3 linked regions of the Mus musculus genome follow. The protein of the gene in region 1 purifies or fractionates together with the protein of each later gene. This does not show direct contact. Links are inferred from orthologs where the notes say so. Each region holds a gene or a part of one and is shown in the gene's direction. Other genes may lie near its edges.

Evidence for each region.
Region 2: the proteins of Cdh2 (region 1) and Ctnnd1 purify together in Homo sapiens (affinity purification with western blotting; 6 studies listed by BioGRID and IntAct, with this or other methods). This does not show direct contact. The link is inferred for Mus musculus from reciprocal best matches to the Homo sapiens genes CDH2 and CTNND1.
Region 3: the proteins of Cdh2 (region 1) and Jup purify together in Homo sapiens (co-immunoprecipitation; 4 studies listed by BioGRID and IntAct, with this or other methods). This does not show direct contact. The link is inferred for Mus musculus from reciprocal best matches to the Homo sapiens genes CDH2 and JUP.

The regions. Positions count from the first base shown.
Region 1 is NC_000084.6:16,584,282-16,595,343, reverse strand, and holds the end of Cdh2 (cadherin-2 preproprotein), read left to right. Parts: intron 1-4,990; coding exon 4,991-5,197; 3' UTR 5,198-6,467; downstream 6,468-11,062. UniProt on the Homo sapiens protein: Calcium-dependent cell adhesion protein; preferentially mediates homotypic cell-cell adhesion by dimerization with a CDH2 chain from another cell. Cadherins may thus contribute to the sorting of heterogeneous cell types.
Region 2 is NC_000068.7:84,603,011-84,613,302, reverse strand, and holds part of Ctnnd1 (catenin delta-1), read left to right. Parts: intron 1-213; coding exon 214-367; intron 368-753; coding exon 754-771; intron 772-1,210; coding exon 1,211-1,279; intron 1,280-2,412; coding exon 2,413-2,540; intron 2,541-2,644; coding exon 2,645-2,795; intron 2,796-3,580; coding exon 3,581-3,773; intron 3,774-4,228; coding exon 4,229-4,343; intron 4,344-4,886; coding exon 4,887-4,974; intron 4,975-8,056; coding exon 8,057-8,119; intron 8,120-9,550; coding exon 9,551-9,654; intron 9,655-10,028; coding exon of another isoform or gene 10,029-10,115; intron 10,116-10,292. UniProt on the Homo sapiens protein: Key regulator of cell-cell adhesion that associates with and regulates the cell adhesion properties of both C-, E- and N-cadherins, being critical for their surface stability.
Region 3 is NC_000077.6:100,376,882-100,387,943, reverse strand, and holds part of Jup (junction plakoglobin), read left to right. Parts: intron 1-1,168; exon of another isoform or gene 1,169-1,448; intron 1,449-1,555; 5' UTR 1,556-1,563; coding exon 1,564-1,771; intron 1,772-4,289; coding exon 4,290-4,549; intron 4,550-4,698; coding exon 4,699-4,937; intron 4,938-6,066; coding exon 6,067-6,268; intron 6,269-7,255; coding exon 7,256-7,400; intron 7,401-8,318; coding exon 8,319-8,422; intron 8,423-9,516; coding exon 9,517-9,855; intron 9,856-10,945; coding exon 10,946-11,062. UniProt on the Homo sapiens protein: Common junctional plaque protein. The membrane-associated plaques are architectural elements in an important strategic position to influence the arrangement and function of both the cytoskeleton and the cells within the tissue.

The DNA.
Region 1 (11,062 bases):
CTACAGAAGACAGACAGGAAATCAGTGGCTCTCTTTCTCCTTCCATCCCTCTTCTGTTCCTCTCTGCAGAGTGTCTTTATAGTTCCATCAAAGCAAGTCTCCACCCCAAAAGCATAGGGTACAAGGTCTATAAATACAAGCGCAGCAAGAGCTTTCACTCTGCAGAGGACCTGAGACTGCAGAAAACTGATGAAAGCACCCAGATAAATTTATCTAGGGTTCAAGATCTTCTCTGTGAAAGGTGAACCAAGAAACCATTTCTAAATTGAGTCAAACCTAGAGAAATACACAGTTAGTTTGTAGATTTCGCAACAGTACTTTATACATCAAGAGACATAGTATCCATAGGCAGGAAAAGAGTAAAAGATTCTGGTGTCCTGTGTTTACTCTGCAGTCTCTGACCAAATGGCTAGAATTGAGTTTTTCAGAGCTTGACTGTGACCTTTTTAGTAAGTACCTCATTCAGAAGGCTCTCGCTCTGTTCTGCCCCCTTTTATTCTGCAGTGCAAACCAATACCATACATGTGGAAGGGGCTTAAAGATCTCGATCTCTGCCTGGAAAGATAGCTCACCCAGAATTCTTCTAGGACAGTGATTTCACCTCTTTATAATTACAAACCCAGAGACAGCATACCATGCCCTACATTGCACAGTTATCTCTCACTAATCATCTTATGGCTTTAAATCCTTTTGAAAAGCAATGAATACAGATTTAAAACTACCATGGGGCTCAGAAACTAACTCAGAAGCTGAAATGTATATTTTTCAAAAAGAAAAGACTATTTTTTTAAGATTCTCAACACCGGGTGCGGGAATAGATTACCTCCAGCATTGTAATGATCTTAAGGAGTTGCTGAATTAAATCATTTAGACATTTGCTGAAGAGTCTTGGAGTCTTCTAACATGCCAGTGAGGATTTGCAGAATGCATCACTTGAGCACAGAAACATATGTCATCACTTTTCAGTCCCAGAATCCAGATGTACTTGAAGCCCTGCCATCCTGCCACTGACTCTTTTAAGATAGGGTTTTATATGTCACAGATTGGCCTAGAGCCCCTTGGGCTGGCTAGGCAACCATTCTGAGGAAAACCTTCAACATCCCCTCCTACCACTTCTGCCTAGTGGGTGCTATGGTTACAGGTAGTCACAAGCAAACTAGTTAAAGCAGTACTGGGGAATCAAACACAGGGCTTTTTACATGCTGGACAAACTCTTTACCAACTGTATAACATCTGCATAACATCTGCAACCCAAACTTAATACTTGTTTTCAAGAACTCCTTCAAACTAGGAATGTATATGAAGCTTTTTTTATTCTTCTTCTGAGGTCTGTTTCATAGATAGATCAAAGCTAGATGGTGCTGAATCATTTAGTAACTATATTTGTAGTTGCTAAATTTTATAGGAAAAGTGGGGAGGAGGGAGGTGATGCTAAAAACCCCAAAAGTGACTAAAAACCCCAAAAGGGCAGTCAGTGAATCTAGTTTGTTCATACCCAGGTCTCCAATGCATTTGAGTCCCAGAGCCTCAAGCAATGTGCCTTGCATTGAATAAGTAAAAAGGATGAGGGAGAATTCTTTGGCTTCTCAACCACGGGGGCTGCAGTAACTAATACCTATTGCTGGCTTACACCAGCAATGGCTAAACTCCTTCCTCAAGTTCCAAATCCATCAGTGGCTCTTGTTTCTTACCCGCATGTGGTTTTTATTGTAAGGTCTACGTAAAAGTAAAACCCACATATGCCACAGAGCATCCTCCTAGCTGATCAGAAAAAGGATTGTCTGCATCCCTGCAGAACCCTTACAGTGTCCAAGTTTCCTGTTCCTCACACTGCACTGGCCACAACCAGGTCTGACAGCAGGGCGGAGCAAGTAGAATGGGTCTCTAGAGAGGCTCTGTGGCATCATGGGTGTGTGCTCCCCTGGGAATTACTAAGGACAGCAACTGAATCTGCCACATAAAGGAGACAGGGATCCTGGGAACATGTAGGTTGTGGTTCTCAGTCTGCAGAGCAGCACTGCAGCTTATTCTAAAAATAAGGTAAGGAAAGTCTCGTCCAGAATTATTTTTGTTTTACATATTGAAGTGGTTTACTGAACTCTTTTTAAATTTTTACTTAACAGCCCTTTCTGGGGTGGAAATAGTATAACATGATATGAGGGAAAGTTATGCTTAATTATACATGGTTAGGATTGTTGGTAAGAAATTCTTGGCAGGGGGAGGGTTGGTAGGCTTTGGCTCTGTTTTTTGATGGGAGTCTAGCAGCTGCTATTTTATTTCTTAAAATAACATGGCTTAACTTTTATTTCAAATGTCATTGAAGGAAATTTTTTCTTTAAAACTAACTATTAAAATATTAACTGGTGCTCACTGAGTTTTTCTGTGGCTAACACGGTTGAACACTTGTACCCAGTATCTCTTTGGGCTTGTTACAGTCTCACATAAGTAAATACTAGGGGCTCAAGGTGAATTCTGTGAATGCTGAGATGTTGATTCAGATCCAGTCTGAGAAACATTACAGCGTACTGATGCGGATCTTAACTTTCATGAGTCTTCTTTATTCCTCATCTATAAACTAGAGACCATGCCCATTAAAAAACAAATTTCATCTGAGATTATTTTTTCTTTTCTGGATGCTGTGCCAAAATACCCTGAGAGAAGCAGTTCAAGGAAGAGTGGGCTTATTCAGGCTCAAAGTTTGCAGGTGTAGCTAATAGCTGTATGGAAGACAAGGGAGCATGGGCTTCAAGTAGTTGGTCTACCACATTCAATCAGCTGAGAGAGGAACATGTGCATGCTACTCTATACAATCCCAGGTCTCTTTTAGGGAATGATGCCACCCATGGTAGACGTGCCTTCCTACCTCAGTTAATGTAATCAATGTAATTTCCACACAGACATGCCTAGCGTATCATCTTCCAGCTGATTCTAGGTTCTGTCAAGTTGACAATGAACTCTAGCCATCACACATATACAAGTTAATATGTACTCAAAAATAAGCATATGGATTGAATAAATTGATCTCTCAAGGAAGACAATCTATGACACATTTCCACATCTTAGATAAAAGGAGACAGCAATAGGCCCGTCAGCCTCTACTGATCCAAAGGTGTAAGAGGACAGTGATTGTTTGAGAAGTGTTATTGCTATGTTGTGGAGAGGAGCTCTAGAATGGAATTGAGAAAATTCCCAAAGGGCCTAAGGCTGCTTTTGGAATACTTTATGGTACATAATTAATCATTAGCTGTAGATATTCAATTACATATTTAAAAGCACCTGTTTCCAGAAATTAGGAATGTAGATGCTAATTGCCTACTTATTTTTGTGTTCTTTATTTTTAAGGCTCATATACATATAATTTCATTTTAGAGCGACAAAATTCATCCCATCCCCAGTATTTATATCACATACAAGGATGGGGTCATGACTTTTCTTTGGCCTTTGAAAGTTAGAAGCCACTTTTTATTGACAAAAATATCTTAAATTTTTCATTATATATGATCGGTATGCAAGGTAGTGTTTTATATACAAATATATATTATGCATTGGGAATATTCGTTCCATGCCCCCTTACCCGCAACTTTTCCCATCTCTCCTTTCCTATCATACCGTAAATGCATTTACAACACACATCCATTTTTGTATAAAAGCATGAAGTGTAAGAACTCTAACCAACCAAGCACGCATTTGTCTTTCTGAGGCTTAATTTGGATCTACTGTGCTATAAACAGCATACTTTATCCTATCTTTTCAAATAGGAACTTTTCACACCATATAAATTAACTCCATATTCTAGGTTCCATTAAAAAGGTAGGTAATTTAATGTGACTGTCTATGTAGTATCACGCCTGACCTGTCATCACTTGTCCTTTGATAGTCTTCCAAAATTAGGTCACTGTCACTTCCTGCGTGGATTCAGAGTCTTCCTGCTCATAGAAGATTTTGTTTTTCAGTTCCCTGACACTCACCTAGTTTTCGTAGTTCTGGTACTTCTCATTGCCTTCCGGGTAAACTATATTCTTTTGTTTTTGGTTTTTGGTTTTTCAAGACAGGGTTTCTCTGTGTAGCCCTGGCTGTCCTGGAACTCACTCTGTAGACAAGGCTGGCCTTGAACTCAGAAATCAGCCTGCCTCTGCCTCCCAAGTGCTGGGATTAAAGGCGTGTGCCACCACTGCCTGGCTGGTAAACTACATTCTTAATGGGCAGATGACCATGAACCACTTGGTCCTGATATATATGTCCTACTCTTTGCTACACATGTAGTTTGTATTTAAGTTCTTTTTTTCTCCCCCCTGAGACAGGGTTTCTCTATATAGCCCTGGCTGTCCTGGCATTTACTTTGTTGACCAGGCTGGCCTCTGCTTCCCCAGTGCTGGAATGAAGGCATGTACCACCACGCCCAGCTCTGCATTTAAGTTCTTAATTGCTAAAATTCCTATCAGGGTCCGTGCCTCACATAGACCTTTGTGTTTGTTTCATATGCTCTGATCTACTGGTAAATTAAATTCATTAAATCACCCTTTCAAAACTGCTCTTATCCCACAGACTTTTAGTCATGTTTATTCTGTGTTCTACCAAGGAAAGTATTGTTCATCTTCACGGATTGAATGATTTTGCTGTTTTCATCGTAATTACCATGTTAAAATTTAGCTTGCATTTCCATGAGTACATTCTCTTATCCTAGCCATCGGGCTCCATATAGCATGTCAGTTAAGATGCTCTTTTATCAGCTACAAACAAATGACCCTTTCTTCTGTTTGTCATACATGTACCCCAACTAGTCGCCAACCTCATTCTATGCCATGGCCATCCTTAGGATTGTTTCCTTGGAAAAGATAATTGTATGACTTCAAAGCCCCACTCACCACCACACCTTTATTTTCCTCTGTGCTGACATTTGCTGTGAACTTGCCAGTGGTAATCTATGAGCAAGTTGTGGTCTCAGTCTCTGGAACCCTCTTGTAACTCATTCATGTCTCTCCTAACCCAGGGCCTTAAAGCTGCTGACAACGACCCCACGGCGCCACCGTATGACTCCCTCTTAGTCTTTGACTACGAGGGCAGCGGCTCCACGGCTGGCTCCTTGAGCTCCCTCAACTCCTCCAGTAGCGGTGGGGACCAGGACTATGACTACCTGAATGACTGGGGACCCCGCTTCAAGAAACTGGCGGACATGTACGGCGGTGGTGACGACTGAACGGCAGGACGGACTTGGCTTTTGGACAAGTATGAACAGTTTCACCTGATATTCCCAAAAAAAAGCATACAGAAGCTAGGCTTTAACTCTGTAGTCCACTAGCACCGTGCTTGCTGGAGGCTTTGGCGTAGGCTGCGAACCAGTTTGGGCTCCCAGGGAATATCAGTGATCCAATACTGTCTGGAAAACACCGAGCTCAGCTACACTTGAATTTTACAGTAAAGAAGCACTGGGATTTATGTGCCTTTTTGTACCTTTTTCAGATTGGAATTAGTTTTCTGTTTAAGGCTTTAATGGTACTGATTTCTGAAATGATAAGGAAAAGACAAAATATTTTGTGGCGGGAGCAGAAAGTTAAATGTGATACGCTTCAACCCACTTTTGTTACAATGCATTTGCTTTTGTTAAGATACAGAACGAAACAACCAGATTAAAAAAAATTAACTCATGGAGTGATTTTGTTACCTTTGGGGTGGGGGGGATGAGACCACAAGATAGGAAAATGTACATTACTTCTAGTTTTAGACTTTAGATTTTTTTTTTTCACTAAAATCTTAAAACTTACGCAGCTGGTTGCAGATAAAGGGAGTTTTCATATCACCAATTTGTAGCAAAATTGAATTTTTTCATAAACTAGAATGTTAGACACATTTTGGTCTTAATCCATGTACACTTTTTTATTTTCTGTATTTTTTCCACCTCGCTGTAAAAATGGTGTGTGTACATAATGTTTTATCAGCATAGACTATGGAGGAGTGCAGAGAACTCGGAACATGTGTATGTATTATTTGGACTTTGGATTCAGGTTTTTTGCATGTTAATATCTTTCGTTATGGGTAAAGTATTTACAAAACAAAGTGACATTTGATTCAACTGTTGAGCTGTAGTTAGAATACTCAATTTTTAATTTTTTAATTTTTTTTAAATTTTTTTATTTTCTTTTTGTTTGTTTCGTTTTGGGGAGGGGTAAAAGTTCTTAGCACAAGTGTTTTACATAATTTGTACCAAAAAAATTACACACAAAAAAAAAAAAAGAAAAGAAAAGAAAAGTGAAAGGGGTGGCCTGGTACTGGCAGCACTAGCAAGTGTGTGTTTTTAAAAAACAAAACAAACAAACAAAAAAATAAATAAAAAGAGGAAAAAGAAAAAAAAAAAAGCTTTTAAACTGGAGAGACTTCTGAAACAGCTTTGCGTCTGTGTTGTGTACCAGAATACAAACAATACACCTCTGACCCCAGCGTTCTGAATAAAAAGCTAATTTTGGATCTGGTGACTGGTTTGAACTTTTTCCTTTCTCTTCTGGAGCTGCACTGCTTGTTGCAGAAACCCCAAGAGCTAGTCAGCCCTTGGGAGCAGCAGCCTCAGTGTGTGTGTTTGTCCTCAGCTTGCCCTCAGCCCCTTCCTACGGAAACGCCTAGTATGGCAACCACGTATTCCAAACCACTGCCACGTGACAGATCACCATCGGCACAGAAGAAAGACACCAGTTGTCTTGAAAAGGAACTTAGTAGCAACAGTATAAAAAGGATGTCATAAACTGCACTGAACACCATGAAATTGCTAGCTCTCCTTTTGTTTCCACCCAAGCTTGTGGCTTTGCTGAGGTGGGGGCTGGGTGTGGCTTTGGGAGCAGCAATGGACGCCGGCTGGTTCTCCTGTACTTCAGGGGAGTCTTTCTATGTCCTCAGTAAAGCATGCTCAGGCTTATCTCCTGACTCTAGTTCAATTTTTGTTTTAGAGATGTGTGTAGTATGTGCCACAATGAAGAACAAAGAGAGAAAAACAGGCTAAGTTTTATAAAACTGTTTATGTCTCTTACTGTGATTCATAATTGAATTTTTATGAGAATTGAGAGAATACTCACTATTTTTCTATTTGCATTCATAGGCATCACACCATATATTCATATACTTTAGACTTTAGAAAACATACAACATACCCTTCAATAATTCCATTATTTTCTTCCCAACATAAAGGTTGTTGTATATACTTAGTAAAATTTGTTTTTCTGTTGACTAACTCAGTGGGCAGTTCTTTGTTGTTACTGCTCTGACCTATAGATGCTAGGACTCTGGATTTCCGAAACAAAAACCTACTAAATTGGAACAGATTTGCTTAAAATGGATTCATAGATTATGCCCCCATGCTGTTTGTACATTTAAAATGAAAACTGAACTGACTTTCAAGTTCAAACATGAAATTTCTATCAAGTAGATATTTTTAAGTGATCTGAGTATAGTGGTACACATCTACAATTCCAGCATTTGGAGGCAAAGGCAAGAGGGTCATCACGCGTTAGAGACCACCTTGCTCTGAAAAGCAAGTTCCAAGCCAGGCAAGGCTATATAGCAAGAGCATGCCTCACACACACACACACACACACACACACACATTTTCAAAACTTTAATTTTTACAGATACTATCCACTGCTATTGTTCCTTTATAAAAACATTTCTAAAACAGATTTCAGAAAACCAGTAAAGAGTAGATGGTCTCATTTGGCCACAAATGGATTTTCTATTCAACTGGTCATAATTCATGGTTCTTTTTATCCAAATAATTTTATACACATTTGCATATAGATTTTATATCAATTTATATTCATAAAAATAAGGTTACATATTATATATTTTTCTGTGACTTTCCTGTGTCACAAGACTATATCTTGGATGCTTTTCCATATTACTATATATATTTCCATATTTTATATATATATATATATATATGTATATATATATATATATATATATATACTTCTACTTCATCCTTTTTAACTGCTACATAGAATTCCATAATATGGACTTAATAGGGTTTTTTATTGAATCATTTCTTAATTTGTTTCCTTTTTCATGATTAAAAATGATTCCACAGTAAACACTCTCGTGCAAGCCTCTGCATGTGGGAGTATTTTTCCAAATTAGAAGCTTGGAGATGGAATTACATGATTCAAGAAACCAGAGTGAAGTTAATTAAACATAGCTAAAATTATAAATGTTTGGTATTGCTTCAACGAGCCTTTTAGCTAAAAGAAGCAGCTTTGTAAAACCAGCTACAGAATGCAAGCTGGTCTAAGCAAGACCTTATTCTCTTTTCTGTGCAAAATACCCATAAAGTCAAGCCCTGGAATAGCTTCAGGTGTTCTGCAAAATGGCTTACATATGTAATTAATAAAGCCCACGAATCTACTCCCCCTTACTCGCAGCAGTTTGGATGTAATGCACATTAAAGGTTTGCCGGGAGGGGACTTGTGAATTGGCCTTTGCTTCCAAGGCACCCTGAACCCTTATGTGGAAGAATATTCACTCAACAATCATTCTCTCACTTCAACACATACAGTACGTGTGCACATAGTACTACTACCACTACCACCAATAATAATAATAATAATAATAATAATAATAATAATAATAATAATAGAAGTTTGCCATTCAGATGGGCACCATGAGGTTCCTCCTGAAGATCTCTCTCTTTATGTGTAAAGTATCTATGTTGCCTCAAGTCTGTTTTCTTTCCCCTATGGACTTTATCATTTTTGCCCCGACTAATAAGAAAGAGTTTGTCACAAGCTTTTTTTTTTTTTCCTGGTAGTTTGCTAGTCTTCTGAATTCACTGCAGTGTTTTTGTAGCACAGCAGTTTTTCATATTTTTTTTAGGATCCGCTATATTTCAAAAGTAGATTTCTGTGATTTTTTTCTCTCCCAATTTAGCACTTTCCTCCATCTTGATCCATAATGTTGAAAGTCAGCCTCTGAACAGAATGTCGAATGTAAGGTCTGATTTCCAGTCATTATTTGTTAAACATTTCAACCTTGACCCAGTCATGTGACACGGAATCTTTACCTATACATTTCTCGTGTATATAATGACTTCTTGGTCTTTTATTCTGTTTAGTTGGGTCATTGATTTTTCTGTTTGGTGCTATCCTGTCATTTAGATAAGCCATTTCCCATGATGGTCTCATCAATAAAGATTTTCTATTATTTATTTTTCTGCATTTTCCTTGTTCATGAGTTTCAGAAATATTTTGTCAAGTACGACAACAAATTGTATTTCATCTTTTACTGAGTTGTAGAAAATTAATAATGTCGCTTCCCGTCCAGTTCTCCATATTTTCATACTATAGGGACTTACTAAACATCTAAATTGTGTGCTTTATTTTGTGCTTTTTATTATTAGGAAAGGACTTTCCTTCACACTGCAATCTCTACTCCCCTGCTTCTCTTACGGGTCTCTCTCAGGTTGGCTGACTTTGATCTCGCTGATTTCTGCCTTAGGTTACCTTTCTACAAGGGTTTTAATATACTCTGAAAACTCTCTTCTTTATTCCTAACAGAGAAAAATGGCAAGACTTATTCCATTCTTAAGACTAATAGTTGGACCTTCCCCTACACTGTTGTGGTAATAATCATACTGATTGTTCTTTTCTATAGTTGGAACACCATATTTCACATTATACATAACGTTTATTATAGATCGTAACTGAGCTTCTGAATTTTATAAACGGTTTCTTTTGTTACATAGATGACTAGTAATGCATTAATTTGCTGAATTATGTTATTACTCTTAGATGCTATAGTCTTGACTCTAACTCTTCCTGGCATGAGCTCAGCCTGTCATGTCTTTCTTTTAACGGACTACTGTGTTTGCCATTATTTTACTTAAGAGCCTCAATACACACTGTTCTATGCCTCTCTGATTCTCATGATTCTTGCTAAGTTTTAGTCACAGATTTATACTAGTCTAAAATAAATAGTTTGGTAAAAAATTTTCCATATGCCCCAGAATGTTTTATATAAATATTTTTTATCTTTTCATTAAAAAATCGCTAATCTCTAATTTTACCTTTATTGGGTCAGGTTTTCTCAGTGATGATATTTCTCAGTAGTTCGGGTGTTAGGCTACTTTTTGACCAATTTCAACAATTTACATTCTTTTACTGCCATACCTGATTTGCTTAACTTAAAAAAGGAAAAAAAAAACTGACATAAAATTGCAGCCTGTATTATCTTTTACCTGTCTGCCCCATTCCTTAAGGTCTGTTGTTTTGTTTTGTTTTGTTTTGTTTTGTTTTGTTTTGTTTTGTTCTCATTTCTCTTCTCACACTCCTTTGCTTTTCTATTCACTTTAATAGCCCATGGTTGATTTTACTGAGCTGGTGGTTGCTCCTGCCTATAATCCTAGCACTTGGGAGGCTACATCAGGGGGATTGTCATAAATATGTCGACATAAATGTGTGAAATACGGAAAGAGACCCTGTCTCAAAAACAACTGCCTCCATTAACAACTTATTGTGGTGGGCCGTTTTGTGTGTGTGTGTGTGTGTGTGTGTGTGTGTGTGTGTGGTGTTGTTCTTGTTGTTGTTGTTGTTTTAATTGAACAGTATGGAGGTTTGTTCATTTGAGTATTTGTGTATGACCTGTCTCAGCCTATTAATTTGTTTTATGACTAGTATTTTAATTGATTTTGTTTATTCCTATGGCTTTATAAGTGTTCCCTCTCTGCTTTAGATTGGAGTATTTCCAGGGCAGAGGGAAATATACCTAAAACCATAGCATTATCATTTTACCAATGGAAGGTGCCTTTCTGAGTGACATTCAGGGTTTTTATGAATTTCACTTCGGTTGATATCAATGTAAGCATGCCTGTTTTCTTTCTCTGAGTGTTCTGTTTATTGTTGGTTTGTTTTTAACAAAGGCGTAACTCAGCTCATCTCTTCTGTGGTGAGAACTGCTGGTGGGATGTGGTAAAACAGTTAAAGTCACTGCTATCTACAGAATGATAGTAAGACTCTGGATCAGCAACAACAAAAATCCACAGTAAAAATAAAGCTCTGATAACTTTTTTTTTCCAGTTTAGTAAACAAAA
Region 2 (10,292 bases), on another chromosome or scaffold:
GTACATGTCTATAATTAGACACCCTGTTAGCATGAAGGAAACAAGAATTTTGAGGATCTTGGGGTACTGACAAGGCAACCTGAGAGAAGATGGATTGAGTTATGCATTTAGGATTGATCTTTTAATACTCAAAACATGGAGACTTGGATTTTCTTGGAAGTCATCATAAGCATTCTCTTTTCCAACTGAACCTTTTTGTTTTATGTCCCTAAGCTTGTGGAGAATTGTGTTTGCCTCCTCCGGAACTTATCATACCAAGTTCATCGTGAAATCCCACAGGCAGAGCGTTACCAGGAGGCCCTTCCTACTGTGGCTAACAGTACTGGGCCACACGCTGCCAGTTGCTTTGGAGCCAAGAAGGGCAAAGGTGAGTTTTGCTTAGTTCCAGTACTTTAATATGGGACAAGAGGAACACTTAGCTTTATAGGGATTTAATAAATAGCGTGGAAGTCTCCCTAGTAGAGTTGTGTCCTTTTGCTCTGTTGCTGCTCCTCCCTTGTTCTACATGCCTTGACGGGTGGTAAGGTGGTGGTGGTGGTGGTGGTGGTGGTGTGTGAGGATGGTGACGATTGTTAGTGTATTGGCATCTGGGGCAGTGAAGGACAAGAACTCAGCTACACCGGGGTCTTCCTCCCTATTCCTCCTCCTTCTCTGCTTTCTTGTGTACTTGCCCATGATCCTGTTGACATCTTTCTCCTGCGTTTTCTTCCTTCATTTCTCTCCTCGCTTTCCACCTTGGTGATGCACTGGAAGATGAGTGGTTCTCCAGAGGTGAGTGCAATCTTTTAAGGCGCTTGTCTCCTAACTTGCATGGTTTGGTTCTTACCTTTCTTAATATCTCTTTGTCTAACCTTCCCCATGGATGCATGTAGGAAAACTTAGTTGAGGGAAAGCATTGGAATAAGTTTAAATCTTCTGGGTTGTGGTTTTACATGTTGTTTCTGGGCAGCAGTCCCTTTTATCAGAACTCAGTTAACAGCCACAGGAGTGGTCATCCTTTTGGACAGTCTACTGCCTGTTTTGGTCTTCCTTGTTTCTGCATCATCCTGTTGGGACAGTTATGTGTGGGGTTTCTCTTCTTTTGCCTCTTTTGATGCTGCATCTCTGATCTGAAGATTCTGACTGAAGGATGAAAAACTGCCAGGTCGAATCTTTCCTTTTTTAAAAAATTATTTCCCCTGTTCTCTCCACCCTTTCTCCATTTTCATAGGGAAAAAGCCTACAGAGGATCCAGCAAATGATACAGTGGATTTCCCTAAAAGAACTAGTCCTGCTCGAGGTAAGCTACCCTCCTTATTCTCCAGAGACTTTGGATATGGTAACATGTTCTGTGCGCTATGTTAACATTTCTCTCTGACTTAATGGATTTGAGGTTACAGTGAAAGTGTTGGGAAAAGTCACAGTATTTAGTCTAGAGCCAAAACTAGGCTGAGTATAATGGTGCATGCCTGTAGCCTTAGTACTGCAGGCAGGAGGATTGCTGCCAGTTCAAAGCCTTGTGGAGGTACAGAGGGAGAGCATGCCTCAAAAAAAAAAAAAAAAAAAAAAAAAAGAAAAGAAAAGAAAAGAAAAGAAAAGAAAAGAGAGAGACTTAGCTTTCTGAATGGCCACTGCAGCTTTTTGGACCTTGAGCCTGACTGTTAGAAGACATGTCTTTATCAGGCTTTAGATGTTTGGACCCAGGATATTAATGAATATAAACTTGCTGGCTTCCTATAAATATAAAAGTTGTTAATTAAATTATGTTAAATCTCGGGCTGTCTATCATTTAGTTACATTCATGATGGGGAGAATGACCGGGTTAAATTAGAAATACTTTGTTTTACATGTTGAATCATTAAGCCTGGCTGCTTATGGTACAAACAAGTCTAAAGTTAGCTATGAGGTACAAGTCAAGGAGAGGGGAATTGAATGCGACTAAGTTAATGTCTGTTCTCTTTTTACCATGGATTAGTTGCTGTTTGTTTGTTTTTGAGACAGGGCCACACTGTGACCCTGGTTGTCCTGGAATTCTGTCTGTAGACCAGGCTGGCTTCAAACTCACAGAGCCGCCTGCCTCTGCCTCAAAAGTACTGGGATTGAAAGTGTATGACACTGCTTTGGGCTAGAGTAGTTATTCTTAAAGCATGGGATCAGCTGGGTATGGTGGTACAGGCTTGTAGTCCTTACTCAGAGATTAAGACAGGAGGATTGATGTGAATTTGAAGCCAGTCTGCTTGACATTGCAAGACCGTGTCTTAAAAGACAAAACAAAAACCTAAGAAAAAAGAGACATGAAATCAAGGCTCTGAATGTGCTTATGATTTAATAGGGGAATTGAGGTGCCTAGTGATGCAGGAGCAGCAGTGCAGGCAGCCGAGCTTGGTTTGTAGGCATTGATTAGTGCTTTCTGTCTTGCCCTTTCTTGTGCAGGCTATGAACTCTTATTTCAGCCAGAAGTGGTGCGAATATACATTTCACTCCTTAAGGAGAGCAAGACGCCTGCCATCTTAGAAGCCTCGGCCGGAGCTATCCAGAACTTGTGTGCTGGGCGTTGGACAGTGAGTACCTCTAAGAAAATGGATTTGGGGATAGGGGTGTAGATAAGTAGTTTGCTACCATCGGTAACTTTTTCACCGCTTGCAATGTGCTTCCTATCTCCTAGTATGGCAGATACATCCGCTCTGCTCTTCGTCAGGAGAAGGCTCTCTCTGCCATAGCTGAGCTCCTTACGAGTGAGCATGAGCGAGTAGTAAAAGCTGCTTCTGGGGCACTGAGAAATCTGGCTGTGGATGCTCGGAACAAAGAGTTAATTGGTAAGGATCTGAACCAGTGCCTAGCACAGTGTCTGGATTCCACTAAATGTTTACTCATTTGTTGACATCACTGAAGAGAAGGATACTATAGTCTTCCATAGTTTATGTTTCTTAGTGTTGAAGGTTCACGGTTTAGTGCACCTTAAAAAAAGCAAGAAGTGATGATTCTTCTAGAACATTATAACCACTATTATTTGTTGACTATCTGCTTTCTCTATCTATAGGCATTGTTAAGAACTTTTTTTTTTTTTTTCATTTGCCCAGAATTAAACTAGTAACTTAGTGGCAGAGTCCAAGTTACTGATTTTTTAAAAAATTCATAAAGAATGTTATGCCTCACTGGGCAGTGGTAGGACACACCCTTAATCCCAGCAGTTGGGAGGCAGAGGCAGGCGGATTTCTGAGTTCGAGGCCAGCCTGGTCTACAGAGTGAGTTCCAGGACAGCCAGGGCTATACAGAGAAACCCTGTCTCAAAAAAATAAAATTAAAAAAAAAATTGCTATGTCTCATAGATTATCATAAGATTATACTGAACATACTGTTTTCACTAGTGTGTCTGAAGAGACCAGATAGTATATTTAATATCCAGCATTGCATTGTCTCTGTTCACTTGAGGAAATAGATGAAGGGCAGTGAGTTTATGGCTGTTTCATGTTCTTTGCGCCTTTGAGATAATCTCATGTGATAATGGAGTTGGTTTGTATGGCTAGAACTTACACTTGGCCTGATTCCTGCTATCACTGTACTGTGAGCCACCTCCTGACCTTTTCTTTTACTGCTGTAGGCAAGCATGCTATTCCTAACTTGGTAAAGAATCTGCCAGGAGGTCAACAGAACTCCTCCTGGAATTTTTCTGAAGATACTGTGGTCTCCATATTGAACACCATCAACGAAGTTATCGCTGAGAACTTAGAAGCTGCCAAAAAGCTTCGAGAGACGCAGGGTATTGAGAAGCTGGTGTTGATCAACAAATCAGGGTGAGCTTTTACTTAATCACAGCCAAAAGAATTTGAGTATGAAAGAAGAAAGTTTTTAGAAAAGAATTTTCCTCTTCCATTCTGTGAGATTACAGCCCCTTCCTGTGACATATGGAGAGGTGTTGATCTATTTTCATTCTTAATGTTTGTCTATAAATTGGCATGGATTGTTATATCAAACTACTTATGTCAGTGTTTCCGACAGTATAGGATTTGGTGAAATTTGACTTCCATGATTACATTTTTATATCCTTGTGCTGTTACAGCAGTAGTTTTCACATGTGGGTTTCAAGTTATGAAGTAGCAATAAATATAAATTTATGTTTCGGGTCACCATAGCGTGAGGAACTATATGTAGCATTAGGAAGGTTGAGAACCACTTTGTTAGAGAGTATAGGTTCTAAAATTCCCTGTTCTGAAAACTAAACTTTGTATGGCGTTACTTTCCTTCACAGGAATCGTTCAGAAAAAGAAGTCCGGGCAGCAGCTCTTGTCCTGCAGACAATCTGGGGCTATAAGGAGCTTCGGAAGCCACTGGAAAAAGAAGGATGGAAGAAATCAGACTTCCAGGTGCAACAACTCTTGACGGAAACTTTGACTTTTCTTCTCTTTTACTCCTCTGTCTTCTGTTTCTTCTAAGTCCAAGTCTTTTCCAAGATAGTAAAGACACTACTTTTTAGTACAGTGGTGCTCACAGTTTATTTTTGCTGAAGTAGTTCTACTCTCTCAATGTTGAACATACAGTAAGTAGATGGTGCTGGTAGTAAATAGTGATAATATATGGCCACTGTGAGCTTGCTTCCTATCTTCTCAGATCCTTCCATGTACTTACCATTCTCTGATCCTTATACCTCTGTCTCCCACTAGCATTATAGATATGTGCTACTGCCTAGACTCAGACTCTTTCTGAGGAGTTATCGCTGTCAATAGGCACCTAGCATCTAAACCCTTTAGGAAGAATGTGTGAGTGAGGGCTTGGGTAGTGAACGTGGAGAAGGAAACCCATGCTGTTTAAGGGCTTCTGAAGCAGGAGGTGCATGGTTAGGAGGAGGGGCCAGGAAGAAGTGGGCATCTTCAGGTTTCTATGACACTGGGTTTTATGTTTGTCTCCAGGTGAATCTAAACAATGCATCTAGAAGCCAGAGCAGCCATTCATATGATGATAGCACTCTCCCCCTCATTGACCGGAATCAAAAATCAGGTATTGTTGCCAAGCGGTGCAGCCTTCTCTGTTTAGTGCTCCTGGAATTCTTTAATGGCTTACTAACTAAGAATAGGACATGCATTTATTCTAAATAAGCTGGACACAGAGTAGGGGAATAATGTTTTACATCATAGTTATAATGTGTAAGAGAATAGGTTTGAATTTAGGAATCTAACAAAGCAGTAAGGGGTGTGGTGGTGCACACTTGTAATCCCAGCTAGCACTCTGAATTGGGGAAGGAGGATCAGTAGTAAGGCAAGGCCAGCATTGGCTACACGACACCCTGGCTCAAGGGAAAACAAAACCAAAATCAAGACAGTTAGTAACCTGAGTGCAGCTCCTTTAATTTGCCTGTGAGCTTCAAGTTCCTGGAGAGTGAATCAGTTTTCTGTTTAATCTCTTCCTCTCTTAAATTTCCATTCTAATGACTAATGTGCCTGGCTAATTATTAGTGCTTTTCTAGTTGGAAAAAATAAAAACCATTGACAACCATAAAGTCCATTATTTCTAGTCCCAAGAAAACAACCCACTGCTATACTGTGTGTGTGTGATTGTGTTTGTGTTCGTGTGGTACTGGGGCTTGAACCCAGGCTTTCTAGGCAAGTTTTCTGTGTCCCTGAGGGAGAGCTTTTTAAACTGCTTTATCATGGATGAATTACATATTTAGTATTATATATTTTTTTCTATTTCACTAAAAGTATATACTGTAACCTTTCTTATCTTAAGATAAGGCTTTTGGCTTTTGATTCCACCCATGGCTTTTGGAGCGTGGTGTGAGGGCCCCAAGATTCTTAGACTTATGTGCCAAAGGCATAGCAGCAGTGCTTGCTGCTGGCGGCCCAACATAGATGAGGTGACGCTATTCTGAACAAGTCGTTTTTATTCCCATCTATTCTACAGTTAGAAAGTTACCTCCACTTAGGAGCATCCTGGTTGGAGCTATAAACGTTATATTTCTACCCCTAAGTACACGTTATTTGATGTGTACTGCTATGGATGAAATTCGGAGCTCTGGTGCTGTGTAGGGAGCCACTGTGGCTGTCTCGGGTTAGACTATTGACATTACTAGTTAGACTGCTGTTTTTATAGAGTGCTACTTTTCCTTATGAAGCAGCTGATACACAAGTGGTGATTATTTCAACATATTATTTGGCAAGCATTTCCTCAAAAATAAACACAAAAACTTTTATCACTTTGGTGAAAAAACTGATACTATTTTCTACCTGAGTAAAAAATACAATTTTGGAGCTGGGCATGGTGGCACACGCCTTTAATCCCAGCACTTGGGAGGCAGAGGCAGGCGGATTTCTGAGTTCGAGGCCAGCCTGGTCTACAGAGTGAGTTCCAGGACAGCCAGGGCTACACAGAGAAACCCTGTCTCGAAAAACAAACAAACAAAACAAAACAAAACCAAAAAAACAATTTTGGCTGAGTGTGGTGATTCATCCCAGCACTTGGAAGGCTAAGGCAGGAAGATTGCCCTTCATTTAAAGCCAGCATGGACTACATAGGGGTTCTAGGCCAGCTTGAGCTGTAGAATAAGACCCTGCCCCCAAGATCCCAAAGGAGAAAAGTACAGCCCAGAAAATCATACCCATGTTTCAGAGCTTAGTAACTTCCCACTACTTAAAGGACTTTCTTTAGGGCTATCAAGTGGCTCAGCAAGTAAGTTCACTTGCTACTGAGCCTGACAGGAGCCTGAGTTCCATTGATGAGAGAGAACTGACCCCTGAAAGTGGTCTTCAGACCTCTGTATTCATGTTATGCTGTGGATGGACACATACACTCACTCTCTCCCTCCCTCCCTCCCTCCCTCCCCCCCCTCTCCCTCCTACATGCACATTCATGCCCGTGCGCGCGCGCACACACACACACACACACACACACACACAGTATAATAATATAATTTCTCAGGCTTTTATGATTATATAAGTGGTGATATAAATGTATTTTTAAAATACACATACATAATAATATGTGTTCAATTTTACATTTGCATAGTTCTGTAAACTGTTATCTCTCAGGGAGACAGTGCCATAATATTTCAAAAATCTGCACAAGTAAATGTTACTCAACCCGTCTATTTTTTGTGGGTTTCTTGATGCAAAGTCTTACCATGGTTGCCCGGAGCAGGAACTTGTAGTGTTTCTGCCTTCTAAGTGCTAAAATTATGAGACTATGCTCTACTTCAGTCTGTTTTAGTAACCCAGAGTTAAAAGTGATATATAAAAGTGTTCAACAGTGCTCCCCACCTCAGGTTTGTTTTTTCATTAACATTTATTATTGTATATGATGTGTGTTGTGGGCACACACACTGTGGCCTTCGAGGGGAGGTTGTTCTTGCAGTTATACCTGACTTCTGGGTTCAGACTCAGACTGCCAGGCTTGTGCAGCAAGTGCTTGAGCCCCTTAGCCACCTTACCAGCCCACATACAGTGCTTTTTAAATTGAAGGCATTTATGATTATGCAAAAAAATAATTCTGATGTGGAATAGATGTTTACATTTCTGAATATAGTAATATCTGCTCATTCCATGCCAGTGAAAGTCATTTGCATCCTCATTTATTTCATATGTGTGTGATTGAGGACGAGGCAAATGCTTTATTTACTGTTGAACTATATCTTTAGCTAGACCCTTATAATTTTTAAGATTAAAGGGGCTTTGAGATGTAATGGCCCATATTGTTAAAGTCGTTGTCGTCCCCGTCCCCGTCCCCCCCCCCCCCCGCCCTTATTCTTTATTTTGTTTGGGTGTGAAGGTACATAAGTGGAGGTCAGAGGGAAACTTGAAGGGCTCAGTGTCTTCCACAGGTTGTTCCCAGGGATCCATTCGGCCATCAGGCTTGACAAATGCCTCTGAAAGGTTTCTTGTATTTGGGTGTCTATAGGAAGGGGTCAGAATTCTGCAAGGGCTTTCCTAGAACTGTAGGTTGTGATTAGTCTTGGCACATACTATGTGCTGAGTAAAACTTTATTGAATAAAGGCAAGGAAAGATGGCACTCCCAAAAGAAATGTCTACTTTATATAGATTCTGGTGTATTGGATTTTGACTTGGGTAACTTTCTAATTCCATATAGATAAGAAACCTGACCGGGAAGAAATTCCAATGAGCAATATGGGGTCAAACACAAAATCATTAGGTAGGTGGTGAATTCCTGTCTAATGTTGCAGAATAGTGTTTAATTGGGGTGAGTAGGAATATATTCTCTCTCTCCCTCTCCCTCTCTCTCTCTCTCTCTCTATCTCTCTCTCTCTCTCTCCAGGGTCTCAGGTCACATAGTCAGGTCTTGAACTCACTACACTTGAGTCTGATCTTGAACTCCTGATCCTCCTGCCTCTACTTCCCAAGTGCTGATATGATAGATATGCTCCACCATACCTGACTTACCATTTATCATCCTGAAGTGATTGATTATCTCATTTAAAAAGGATATCTGAAACTATAATACAATTTGATCAGTCTACTCTTTTTCTACATTTTCACATGTTGCTGTGGAGGGGACAATCTTGAACTTAAAAAACTTTTTAAAACCTTTTTCTTTTTTGAGACAGGTCTTTCTGTGTATTCATGGCTGTCCTGAAACTTGCTTTGTAGATCAGACTGGCCTTAAACTCACAGGGATATACCTATTTCTGCCTCCCCTGTGTTGGGACACTATCATGCCTAGCCAATTTATTTTATTCTGTATGTACGAGTGGGATTTTTTTTTGCCTGCATGTATGTGTGTTTACCAGGTGGCTCATGCTTTCAAACGTCAGAACCCATAGAACTGGAGTTAGGGCTGGTTATGAACCACCAAGTGAGTGATGGGAGTTGATCCAGGCCCTTGCAGTAGCAACAAGTGTGCTGAACTATCATCACTCTAGCCCCCTGACCTTGAATTCTTGATAGATCCTCTTCTTCCCACATATGTTCTCAGAAAGTCTCATGTGGCATATAACTAGTATAGCCCTAACTCTCTTTGTTTTTTCTCTTTACTCTCTACTGGTCTTTTTTTTTTTTTTAAGCAGGATTTCATAGCCCAGGTTAGCCGAGGATGACCTCAAATTCTTGTTCCTCCTTCCTATTTGCTATTCTATCTCATCATTCTACTTGGGTATATGAAGCCTTCTATGGGAATATCCTTCCCCTTTGTTCTTCTAAATTCTTTTCATTCCCAAAACCTAAACTCAAGTTGTGTTTTGCTTTATCAGTTTCTTTCAATTGTTAACATATTTCTCTGTCTTCTCTCAATTTCAGGGCTGTATCTCTTTTGTAGGCCAGGTCTCTTTAGTGTCACTCACCAAGGGATACACTGTTGTTTCTTGTTGTTATTGCTTTGTTGTTTTTGCAGTGGTGGGAATTGAATCTAGACTAACCACTCTACCACTGAAGTACATCCCCAGTATTGGGTATTTCTCATACACCATCTTTCCCATTATACTCAAGTTATGTGTAAGTGTTAAAAAGCACCAGTGTTTAATATCTTGTTGGTGCATCTAAAACAGTTCATTTCACAATCTAATTCACATATTCACATACATTGTATACTAGAAGGAATGTCTTATTTCTGTGTACTTTCTTCCTCTAGATAACAACTATTCCACACTGAATGAGAGAGGAGACCACAACAGAACACTGGACCGATCTGGGGATCTGGGTGATATGGAACCATTGAAGGGAGCACCCTTGATGGTAAATCCTTGTTATGTATTGCTGTGTATGAGGCTAATACTATTTTGAAACTGTATGATATATAAAATGGGAGGCGGCGGGAAGAAAAAGACAAATCTTTTTGGTAGGTTTTCTTTGATGCATCTTGATGGTTCTTGGGATGTTGCTCATTGGTTGTGTGGATGGATTTTGCAAGCGTTGCTGACGTCACTGACACTAACTAACCTGCTCTCGAGGACATCTCCCTGCTCTTGCACTTACCTGTTTAGGATGTTTGCCCTGTACTCTTAACAGGGTTTGTTCACTTTACAGATGTTGGGATTTCCCTTCCATCTGGCACACACTTAGAAAGTCTTACCTTGGTTCTCTTACTAACAAATTGCATGTGTTCACAGCAGGACGAGGGGCAGGAATCTTTGGAGGAAGAGTTGGATGTGTTGGTTTTGGATGATGAGGGGAACCAAGTGTCTTACTCCCCCATGGTATGTCCTCCAGTCACCCCTAAGATGGTCCTGAGGAAGGAGGTTGCTGTGTGCCTACTCTTTGCCAATCATGCTGATCTGATCAGGCCTGCGATACTTGTTTGAGCCGCATGGTACCCAAGGGTTCTACTTCTGTGATCACGACCTCTTCCCAGGCTGGGATGCAGCGGATGATCT
Region 3 (11,062 bases), on another chromosome or scaffold:
TTTTTTCCCCCTCTTTGAAACAGTGTCTCCTTTTGTAGCTGGTCTCCCACTGGTGAACCTTCTATCCCAGTCTGCCCGGTACTGGCATGACAGGCGTGTTCTACCATGCCCCTCTGTCGTCATGCTCTGAAAGGTGGGGCCGGGGCTGTCACTGGGAAGAGGCCCCTGATTCTTTTTGTTCCTGGGTGGCGCCTCTCAGTACACCAGCTGCCCCACCCTAATTTTTGCAGGTCCCCCATCATGGTGGAACAACCTGTTTGAGAGATGCTGGGCACCACCCCGTTTTATGAGTGGGCTCTGTTCATTCTCTGAGGCAGTATTGCAGTATTGGAGTATAGAGGCAGAAGACTTTAGCATCAAGCTTGCTTATGCCTGGTCCCTTCTCTAGTTCCATTTCTAGCCAGTTTCCACATCTATAAACTGGGGAGCAAAGCTCTGAAACCCATGTGTGAGGCTGGTGGCATTGGTGAGGGGTCTGGAGGCACGTGTGAAGGGTGTGAGCACATAGTAGATCTCTCTCCATGACTGTCTGTATGTAGGTGGTGGTGGTTGCAATAGGGTCAGTGCCCATGACGGTGGTGCCAAACAGACCAAATGAGGAACCCACATCAAGTAGGTGCAGATGCCCATGGGCCTTAAAGTGGCCCCAAGCCCTCAGAGCAAGGTGAAAGTCCTCAACAGCAGTGACCACCCCAGAGGGCCTGTCCCACTCCGTGCTGCTAGCCCGAGTTCCGGGAAGTGGACGATGAATGAACACCCTAGGGGTGAGGCAGTTAGGATAGCAACAACCTGGTCCCCAACAGTGAACACCTACTAAGTGCTGTCACCATAGCGAGTCCTTCCTAAGCACTATTCTCACAGCATTCAGTTGAGCATGGTGGACCGTGAGTTTGAAGCCCCTGGCACCCAACGAGAGGTAGATTCTTAAGGGAGTAGTTTGCCAAGATTTGAACAGGTCTATAGAGCTCAGAAGGCTGGGAGCTGGAGGAGAGGAAGCCCTGGTTTAGCTTGACCTCCTGGAATATGAGATTCAGGAACTCTGAGGGAGCCCTGGGCGTCCCAGAGAAACCTGTCGGACAGCTTCCCTGCCCCACCCAGTCTCTCATCCAATGGCTGACGGTGTGCTACAGCCTCTGCAGCCTTTCCCAGGGGACTCCAGTGGAGCGAGGGCAGGTCTACAGAGCTCAGCAGCCCTCTGAAACCCTTAGTTCCTTTTCTACTGGAAATGGTGGGTGGGGGCAGCTGGTGAGTGAGCCTGTGCTAGGCTGGAGGGATCTGGCTGTTTCCTGTCTCCACACCAGAGCTAGAGAACGCAAAAACCATGGAGCTTATCCTTAATGACCTTACTGCAGCCCTACTGTGCCCCAGGCCGTCTTCTGGGCTGGGTGCCCTTTCGCTTCACACCTGCACCTTGCTGTCTGCAACCCTCTGAGGCCCTTGAGGCTATGGTAGGGCTCCAGGAGAAGGGTAGATCTCAGCTATAGCTGAGTTGAAACTGGGGGTAATGGTGTCTCCCTAGCCTGCTGATGTTGTGCTCCTGTCTTTTTGTCTTCAGCAGCCACCATGGAGGTGATGAACCTTATTGAGCAGCCCATCAAGGTGACAGAGTGGCAACAGACATACACCTACGACTCGGGCATCCACTCCGGCGTCAATACCTGTGTGCCCTCTGTAAGCAGCAAGGGCATCATGGATGAGGATGATGCCTGCGGCAGACAGTACACACTCAAGAAGACTACCACCTATACACAAGGGGTGCCACAGAACCAAGGTCTGGACCCCAGGGTTTTTTTTTTTTTTTCTTTTGGGTTTTCCGAGACAGGGGTTCTCTGTGTAGCCCTGGAACACCTCTGTAGATCAGGCTGGTTTTGAACTCACAGAGATCTGCCTGCCTCCGCCTCCCGAAGGCTGGAATGCACCACCACCACGCCTGGCTTCACAGTGTCCACTCTTGAGGACACGGGAAGTCTGAAGGGGACATGTGGCAACCCAGAGATAGATACAGAAGTCACCCGGGTGAATTCTGAACGTGTAGGGAGGCCTAGGCACTGACCCAGGGTGCTATTGGAGCCCAAAGTTTTTAGCTTCTGGGATCTCAGGAGTGTACTAAGGTGACTTTATTGATACCCCTCCGGGTGGGGGCTGGCAAGATCTGAGATTACTGGGAAGGTATTCTTTTCACTCCAGGAACCTCATGTCTGATGAGAGAGACAGGGGATACTCCCCCACACACCCACACACACCCAGGGTTCAAGCTTAGACTGGGCTAGCACATGACATACAGATGTACTGAGGACGGGCCTGGGGAAACTGATTCAGTTACAGGTTCCTGTCACAAAGGCCAATACTCTACCAGTCCAGATGTTCCCTTCCTTTCTGGGACAAAGGTGCACATGGCTTTAGGACTGTCATTCGCAGATGCCCCCAGGGCCCTAAATGTTCCAGGGGATGAGATTTGGGGCCTGGACAGTTGCAGGATGAGTTGTGGCTGGTGAGGGCTCTATGAACTGAGCCTCTGTGTCCCAGGTCTCCTTCCTTGGAACCTCTCTGTGCCTGGCTGGGCCAGTGTACTCCTAGGAGCTAAAGGAAAGTGTATAGGTGGGAGAGTCCTGTAGGCAGCCTCTCCTTCCCCATTAGTTAGAGAATGACCTTGTTCCTGCCCTCTCTACTAGGGCATTAGGGCGTTGGCCATAGCAGGGCTATATGGGACTTTTTCTTTGAATAGCCCCAGCCTACCCAGAGGGAGAACCCAGGGTTTCCCTTGAGGATTCTTGCTCCTGCCTTCTCAAAGCCAGCCTCCTGTCCTGTCTCTTGATTGGCTATGTGGTCTTGGCTGGTGCTCGGGGACTTCTTTCGGCCCCCTGTTCAGGGAGAGAGTTGCTACTCTATGGAGGATGAGTTGTGTAGTTAGACTAAGGAAGTTTAGCTTGTCTAATCTTGTGACTGGGCTGCCCTGCTGGTTACAGGAGGAACAGCGGGGCTCTGGGCTCCTGAGTCCACTGTTTTTAGGACCTCCGTGTCCAGTGTCCTGAAAGCTGGAGATAGTATTGTACTTGCCTTGTGAGATTATTGTTGACAGATGAAATAAGGTGCTTAGCACACTGTCAGGCACACAGGCACTCCACCATTAGGTATTTCTTTTTGTCTGTCATTTCTGTGTGTGTGTCTATGTGCACATATGTGCACGGGGACCCCTGGAGACCAGAAGGTGTCCTTTGGAGCCTTTAGAGCTGGAGTTACATTGTTTGTGAGCTACCTGATGTGGGTGCAGGGATTGGAACTCTGATCCTCATGATAAAACTGCAGTACCCTAAGCTCCTGAGCCACCTCTCCAGCCCCTGGTTTTGTTTTTGAGACAGTCTCATGTAGACTAGGCTGTCTTAAACTCACTGTGTAGCCAAGGATGCCCCTCGATTTCTGATCCCCTTGCTGCCACCTCTGGAAGAGTGTAATTGCACAAGTGTGCCACCATGCCTGCTTTTATTCATTGCTGGGAGCAGAACCGTGTTAGGCAAGCATTCATCCAGCCAAAGCCGCTGAGCTGGCCATCGTAGCAGAAGTATATGATGTCCCAGTTTCTTGGTAGGCTGAGGCAGGAGGATTATAAGTACAAGATCTACCTGAGTACGAAGTAAGTTTAAAGCCAACTTGGGAAACTTAAAGTAGTTTTAATTTTTTTAAGTGTGTGAGTGTGTGCCGGCATGTATGTTATGTATATATACCAAGTGGGTGCAGTGCTTATGGTGGCAAGAAGAAGGTGCCAGAACCTCCTGGAACTGGAGTTAGATATGGCTGGGAGCCACCACGTAGGTGCTAGGAATGGACCCTGTGTCCTCTGCAGGAGCAGTATGTGCTCTTAATGGCAGAACCATTCCTCCAGCCCCTAATTCTTTTTTTAAAGACTGGAAATATAGCTCAGTGGTAAAGTGCTTGCTGAACAAATATGTGGCCCTACGTTTACTTCCTAGAACTGTACTTCAATAAATACATATTCTGCTGCAGACATTTTTGTAATGATAGGTGTCAGACATGAGTCTTTTAAAATCAAATCATGATCTTGGTTGTCATAGAGTTGGATGAGCTAGGAGGGCCTCATGCTCTCAATGGGATGATACAGACAAGGGCGATGATGGTCCCCTAAGACCCTGGTTAGGTTCAGAATCATGAGTGATGCCCTGTACTTTGGAGAAACATGAGGGAGCTTGGAGCCACACCTTCAAGGCTTGCCTTGCTCTTCAGGGTCCCAGTAAAATCTCCTGTAGCTCAGTCCTATGTCATTTGGCTTTCAGGTGACCTGGAATACCAGATGTCCACAACGGCCAGAGCCAAGCGGGTGCGGGAGGCCATGTGTCCAGGGGTCTCAGGCGAGGACAGTTCTCTACTGCTGGCCACCCAGGTGGAGGGGCAGACAACCAATCTGCAGCGCCTGGCCGAACCATCCCAGTTGCTCAAGTCGGCCATCGTCCATCTCATCAACTACCAGGATGATGCAGAGCTGGCCACCCGGGCTCTGCCTGAGCTCACCAAGCTGCTCAACGATGAGGACCCGGTCTGTGAAGGGCCTGGAGGTGGGGTGGGATGGAGCTGGCTGTCCTCAGAGGGAGGGGTCATCTAAGGATGCCACGGCCTTTGCCTTCCTTCCCTCTGTGGAGGAGGAGCCTGAGGCTATCTGCTCAAGGTCTCACACACTTCCTCCAGGTAGTGGTGACCAAGGCGGCTATGATCGTGAACCAGCTGTCCAAGAAGGAGGCATCCCGCCGGGCTCTAATGGGCTCGCCCCAGCTGGTGGCGGCGGTGGTGCGGACTATGCAGAACACCAGTGACCTGGATACTGCCCGGTGTACCACCAGCATCCTGCACAACCTCTCTCACCACCGAGAGGGCTTGCTCGCCATATTCAAGTCTGGAGGCATCCCTGCCCTAGTCCGAATGCTCAGGTACTTGTTTCTCGGCTGCATGGGAGCCAGGGGCCTCCCAGCATCCCGTTTCCTGGGCTTCCAATACAAGTTGTTACAAAGAATGGTTGAGAGTGTCCAAAGGCAGAGCTTTGACAACTCTGGGGGTGGAGCTTTGACAACTCTGGGGGTGGAGCTTTGACAACTCTGGGGGTGGAGCTTTGACAACTGAGTATACTTGGTCAGAGTAGATGAGGGGCAGGCTATCCTAGCAGGAGAGAACAGCATGGCTGACCCCCCCCCCCCCAGTTGTGCTTCCTCCTCACCCCGTGGCCTGGTACTGATGTAAATGGGAGTTCTTTGAGGGTAGAAGTTGATTTCACTCCCCTCTTATCCTCTCCCACAGCTTCTCCTGTATGACCTTACACACAGTAGTGACTCAGCTGCCCAGGGACCTAGCATGTAATTAGCACCGTGCGGAACCTCAGATGCGAGAGTAGAGAGAAGATGCACTGTGTGCCAATGTCTTTAAGAGTGGGGCTGGCTGGGCATAGTGGGGCTCTCCTTTAATCCCAGCCCTCAAGAGGTCGAGAGACATGCAGATGTCTATGAGTTCCAGGCCAACCTGATCTATACAGAGAGTTCTAGGATAGCCAGGGCTCCATAGTGAGAACCTGTGTCCAAAAAGAAAAAAGAAAGGAAGGGTGGGATTGGGTCTGGGGGTTGGCTCAGTCAATAGAGTGTTTGTTTACCTCTCCAGCACCCACATGAATATGCTAGATGCCATAAAGCGCTTTACTGGCAGTGGGGAAGCAGAAACCAGAAGCATCCCTGGGGCTTGCTGGCTGACCAGTTTAGCCTAATGGGTGCCAGGCCAGTAAGAGAGCCTGTGTCTAAAGAAGGGGACTGTGTTCCTAAGGTACACACCTGAGTTTGTCTTCTGGCCTCCATACACGTTCATTCACATACACACACACACACACACACACACACACACACACACACATGAGCAAAATTTAAAAAGCTTTGTGCTTAAGGAAGGATGAGATTTTGGTAAGGGTATATTTGCATGGGGGGTGTTGATTTAGGGTGAGCTCTCTGGATGTAGCAGGGACTCCTTCCAGACCCACATTCCGGCAACTGGCTCACACAGGTCCTCTCTGTTCCTCAGTTCCCCCGTAGAATCTGTCCTGTTCTACGCCATCACCACACTGCACAACCTGCTGCTCTATCAGGAGGGCGCCAAGATGGCGGTGCGTCTGGCAGACGGGCTGCAGAAGATGGTGCCCCTACTCAACAAGAACAACCCTAAGTTCCTGGCCATCACTACTGACTGCCTGCAGCTCCTGGCCTATGGCAACCAGGAGAGCAAGGTGGGTCCCTCCACCAAAGCCTACAGCAGCATCGTAGTGGCTTCTGGCCACTTCCGGAAAGGCATATTGATGTGTCTACACAGATGAATGTGTGTCTTACCCTAGTTCTGAATTCTTCAGAACTAATGATTTAAGGATGAGAAAAGAATTAGGGATCAGGGTATAACTCAGTGATAGAATAGAATGATGCTGAGTGTCATTGGATTCAGTCCTTAGAGATGAAAAGAGGGAAGGGGTCGGGGGTGGTGGCGCATGCCTTTAATCCCAGCACTTGGGAGGCAGATGCAGGCGGATTTCTGAGTTCGAGGCCAGCCTGGTCTACAAAGTGAGTTCCAGGACAGCCAAGGCTACACAGAGAAACCCTGTCTCGAAAAACCAAAAAAAAAAAAAAAAAAAAAGAGGGAAGGGTGGAAAGATGGCTTGGAGGCCAGAAAAGGGTAATAGATCCCCTAGAACTGAAATTACCGATTGTTATAAGCCACCATATGGGTGCTGGGAATCCAACCTAGGTTCTCTGGAAAAGCCACCAGTGCTCCTAACTCCTGAGCCGTCTCCAGCCCCCTGTGTATTTTAGACAGGTTCTAACTAACCCGGGCTAACCTGGAATCCTACATCTTCTTGTCTCGGTCTCCCAACTGCTGGTGTGCAACACCAGACCTGGCAGAGCTCAAAAGGTCTTTTGATTTTTATTTATTTACTTTTAAGCACGTCTAGACTTACTCCGTGGGTTAGCTCTCTTTCCAAAAGGACTACAGTTCATCACTGTCAGTGGTAGTGGCTGTGACTAGCTTTCCTTTGCTACATCCTTGCCAGCATTTGATATCATCGTCCTCACCCCCCAAACCCCCGAGTTTGTTGGCTTGATAGTCTCAAAAGCATTTACAGCTTAGCAGAAGCTTCATAAAGACAGCTTCTTCATCCCCCCACCCCTCCATGCCTTCTGTCTGACACTCAGTCTTTCTCTCCCCCCCCCCCAACCCCCGACAGCTGATCATCCTGGCCAATGGGGGACCCCAAGGGCTTGTGCAGATCATGAGGAACTACAGCTACGAGAAGCTTCTGTGGACCACCAGCCGTGTGCTCAAGGTGCTCTCCGTGTGTCCTAGCAACAAGCCCGCCATCGTGGAGGCTGGTGAGTGTGAGAACCACAAGGTGGCTTGTGGGGGAACCCAAGGGTAGTTTAAGTTCTCAAACCTTAAGAGCTCTTGCTAGTTTTCCAGAGGACCTAAGTTTGGTTCCCAATATCCACATCTGGTGACTTACAACTGTCTGTAGCTCAAATTGGGAGGGGCTGGGGCTGGAGAGATGGCTTAGTGGTTAAGAGCAATGACTGCTCTTCCAGAGGTCCAGAGTTCAAATCCCAGCAACCACATGGTGGCTTACAAACATCTGTAATGACATCTGATGCCCTCTTCTGGTGTGTCTGAAGACAGCTACAGTATACTTATATATAACAATAAATAAATAAATCTTCTTTTTTTTTTTTTTCAAGACAGGGTTTCTCTGTATAGCCCTGGCTGTCCTGGAACTCACTTTGTAGATCAGGCTGGCCTCGAACTCAGAAATCCACCTGCCTCTGCCTCCCGAGTGCTGGGATTAAAGGCATGTGCCACCATGCTTGGCTATAAATAAATAAATCTTAAAAAAAAAAATTGGGATGGTCTGATGCCCTTTTCTGGGTACTACACAACCCCCCTCCACCTACCACTCCATCCCCCCCCCCCCCGCCCCGACACACACACACAAGTAATAATGATCTTTAAAAATAAAAACAGAGCCTGGTAGTGGTGGCACATGCCTTTAGTCCCAGCACTTGGGAGGCAGAGGCAGGCGGATTTCTGAGTTCGAGGCCAGCCTGGTCTACAGAGTGAGTTCCAGACAGCCAGGGCTACACAGAGCAACCCTGTCTGGAAAGACCAAAACAAACAAACAAACAAACAAACAAACAAACAAAAAAGAGTGACCTCTAAGGTTAGGAGACTCAGGGTAGGGTCTCTGCCCTGTCAATCTGGCTCCCTTGGAGCTGACAAGGCTCCTGTCCCCTCCCCAGGTGGGATGCAGGCTCTGGGCAAGCACTTGACAAGCAACAGTCCCCGCCTGGTGCAGAACTGCCTGTGGACTCTGCGCAATCTCTCGGATGTAGCCACCAAGCAGGTGAGACAGGAGTCTGGACCTGGGCCAGTCTCTTAAACCATGCCAGCCTTCCACCTGGGCAGATGACCTCTGGGACCTGTGAGCCCTCCTCCTTCATGGCTAAGGCTGAAAAGTTCCAGATGGCTGTCACACCTTTATTTAGTAGGGGGCTTTCGTCCTGCTTAGGGTTTGGGAGAGGAAGAGGAAGTGGGCTGACATCTTTAAGTTGGGGTTCAGGTAAGGGGACAGTTTGGGTCTAGACTCTGGGACAGGACCAGTACTACAGGGGCTGGTGAGATGGCTCAGTGGTTAAGAGCATTTGTCTGTGGCTCTGGTTACAGAGCATCTGATGTCCTCTTCTGGCCTCTGAGGGCACCGGGCACACACATATGGTGCACAGATACACAGGCAGGCAACCAGACTTCCCTCTCCATGCTTAACCATCACCATGCCACCAAGCAAGTATCCTCCATGGGCTAGCATTTTGCGTGGCCTCCGTGGGCATGCGCTCTCCGTCATGTAGAGGGGGAGCAAGCAGCCCTATTGATCGTGGAAGAAACCCAGGCTCAGTGTTGAGAGAGCCCGTGTTCAGAGCTAGTAAGTGGCAGAGCTGTCATTCTGACCCCGTGATGTGTATCTCCAAGGCCTAGACCCTTTCTGCGCCACTGCTAGCCCTATAAAGCTCTCCCTGGGAAAAGAGAGATATTTGAATTAGGGATTTTTTTTTAAGTAGATTTAGCTTGCGGACCCCCTGGTGTGACAGAGAAGGCCCAGCAAAGTAAAAAGTAGCTAAAAGCTGAGGCCTATGACCCCAAAGCCCTTGCTAACTTCCCCTTGCTAACTTCCTCCTGACCAGAGGTCTCCTGCGGCCAGCAGGAATGAAGCACACTAGCCTTAGAGGCAGGTCTGCAGCTGTGGGTCTGTGGAAGCGCTCCAGCCTTTCTCAGCCTCCTGCTAAGGGCTTCCCTCAGGGCATGGGAGGCTGTGAGGTCAAGGTTCCCAGCTAGATACAAGCAAGCCCTAGCCCTTCGGCCTGTCCATTCCCCCTTGGACCTATTGGAGAGGCTGTATAGAGATGGCCGTGTCCCTTACCCTGCATGCGCTTCCTGTCTCAGGAGGGCCTGGAGAGTGTGCTGAAGATCCTGGTCAACCAACTGAGTGTAGATGACGTCAACGTCCTCACCTGTGCCACGGGCACCCTCTCCAACCTGACCTGCAACAACAGCAAAAACAAGACGCTGGTGACACAGAACAGTGGCGTGGAGGCGCTCATCCACGCCATCCTGAGAGCCGGAGACAAAGATGACATCACAGAGCCCGCTGTCTGTGCCCTGCGCCACCTTACCAGCCGTCACCCCGAGGCTGAGATGGCCCAGAACTCTGTGCGCCTCAACTATGGAATCCCGGCCATTGTGAAACTGCTCAACCAGCCAAACCAGTGGCCACTGGTCAAGGTACCCAGTAAAGGCCACAGGCACTGGGGTAGGGGTAGGTGAGGGGTCTGTCCATGTTCAGGGTCATAGGGATATATGGTAAGGATCCAGAAGAGCAGGGCCTAGAAATAGGAAGCAGCTCCCATGGCCTTTTTTGCTTCAACATTGGCTCTGCTCTTAGAGACTGAGTCTTTTCATTTATCTGTCCCACCATATGGTTTTTTTTTTTCTCGTTTTTCGAGACAGGGCTTCTCTGTGTAGTCTTGGCAGTCCTGGAACTCACTCTGTAGACCAGGCTGGCCTCAAACTCAGAAATCCGCCTGCCTCTGCCTCCAGAGTGCTGGGATTAAAGTCGTGCGCCACCACCGCCCAGCTATTATTTATTTTTAGAGTCTTCACTTATTTATTTTGTTTTGGGGGGACAGGGTCTCACTCTATAGCTCTGATGGTCCTGGAGTTCTGTAGACCAGGCTGGCCTCGAACTCACAGAGATTCTTCTGCCTCTGCCTCCCGAGTACGGGGGATTGAAGGTGTTTGTCACCATTCCTGACTCTGGCTATTTTTTGAAACAAGGACCCTGAGATGTAACCCAGGCTGTCCTTAGACTTTCAATCCTCCTGCCTCAGGCTCCTGACTGCTGAGAATACTATAGACATGTCCCACCTTAGCAATCTAGTTCCTTTATTACTATTATTATTATTAAAAAAAAAAGTACAGTCTCAGGTATCCCAAGCTAACCTCAGATTGTAGCCAAGGTTCGCCTTGATCCTCCTGCCTCAGCCTCTCCCTACTTGCTGGGGTAAGTTCTGTGCCATCACACCCACTCTGTGCGGTGCTGGGTATCCAACCCTTTGTGTGTCCTAACTGAGCTAAAGCCCCAACCTTAGCTCTAGATTCCTTCAGTTCTGTGCCTACAGCCCCGCCCACAAGCCCCCAGTTCCGTTCCAGGAGTAGCCAGGATGCTCCTGACTCTGCGGTTGTTGCTGAAGTGGGACTCAGATTCAGAAGAGATGACAGGAAGGACAAAATACCTAAAGCCGGGGATCAGGGATCCTCCAGATGTTTAAGGACTACCCGCCCCTCCACTCATCACTGCCTCCTTTCTTGCCAGGCAACTATTGGCCTGATCCGGAACCTGGCTCTGTGCCCAGCCAACCATGCCCCTCTGCAGGAGGCCGCGGTCATTCCCCGCCTCGTCCAGCTGTTGGTCAAGGCCCACCAGGACGCC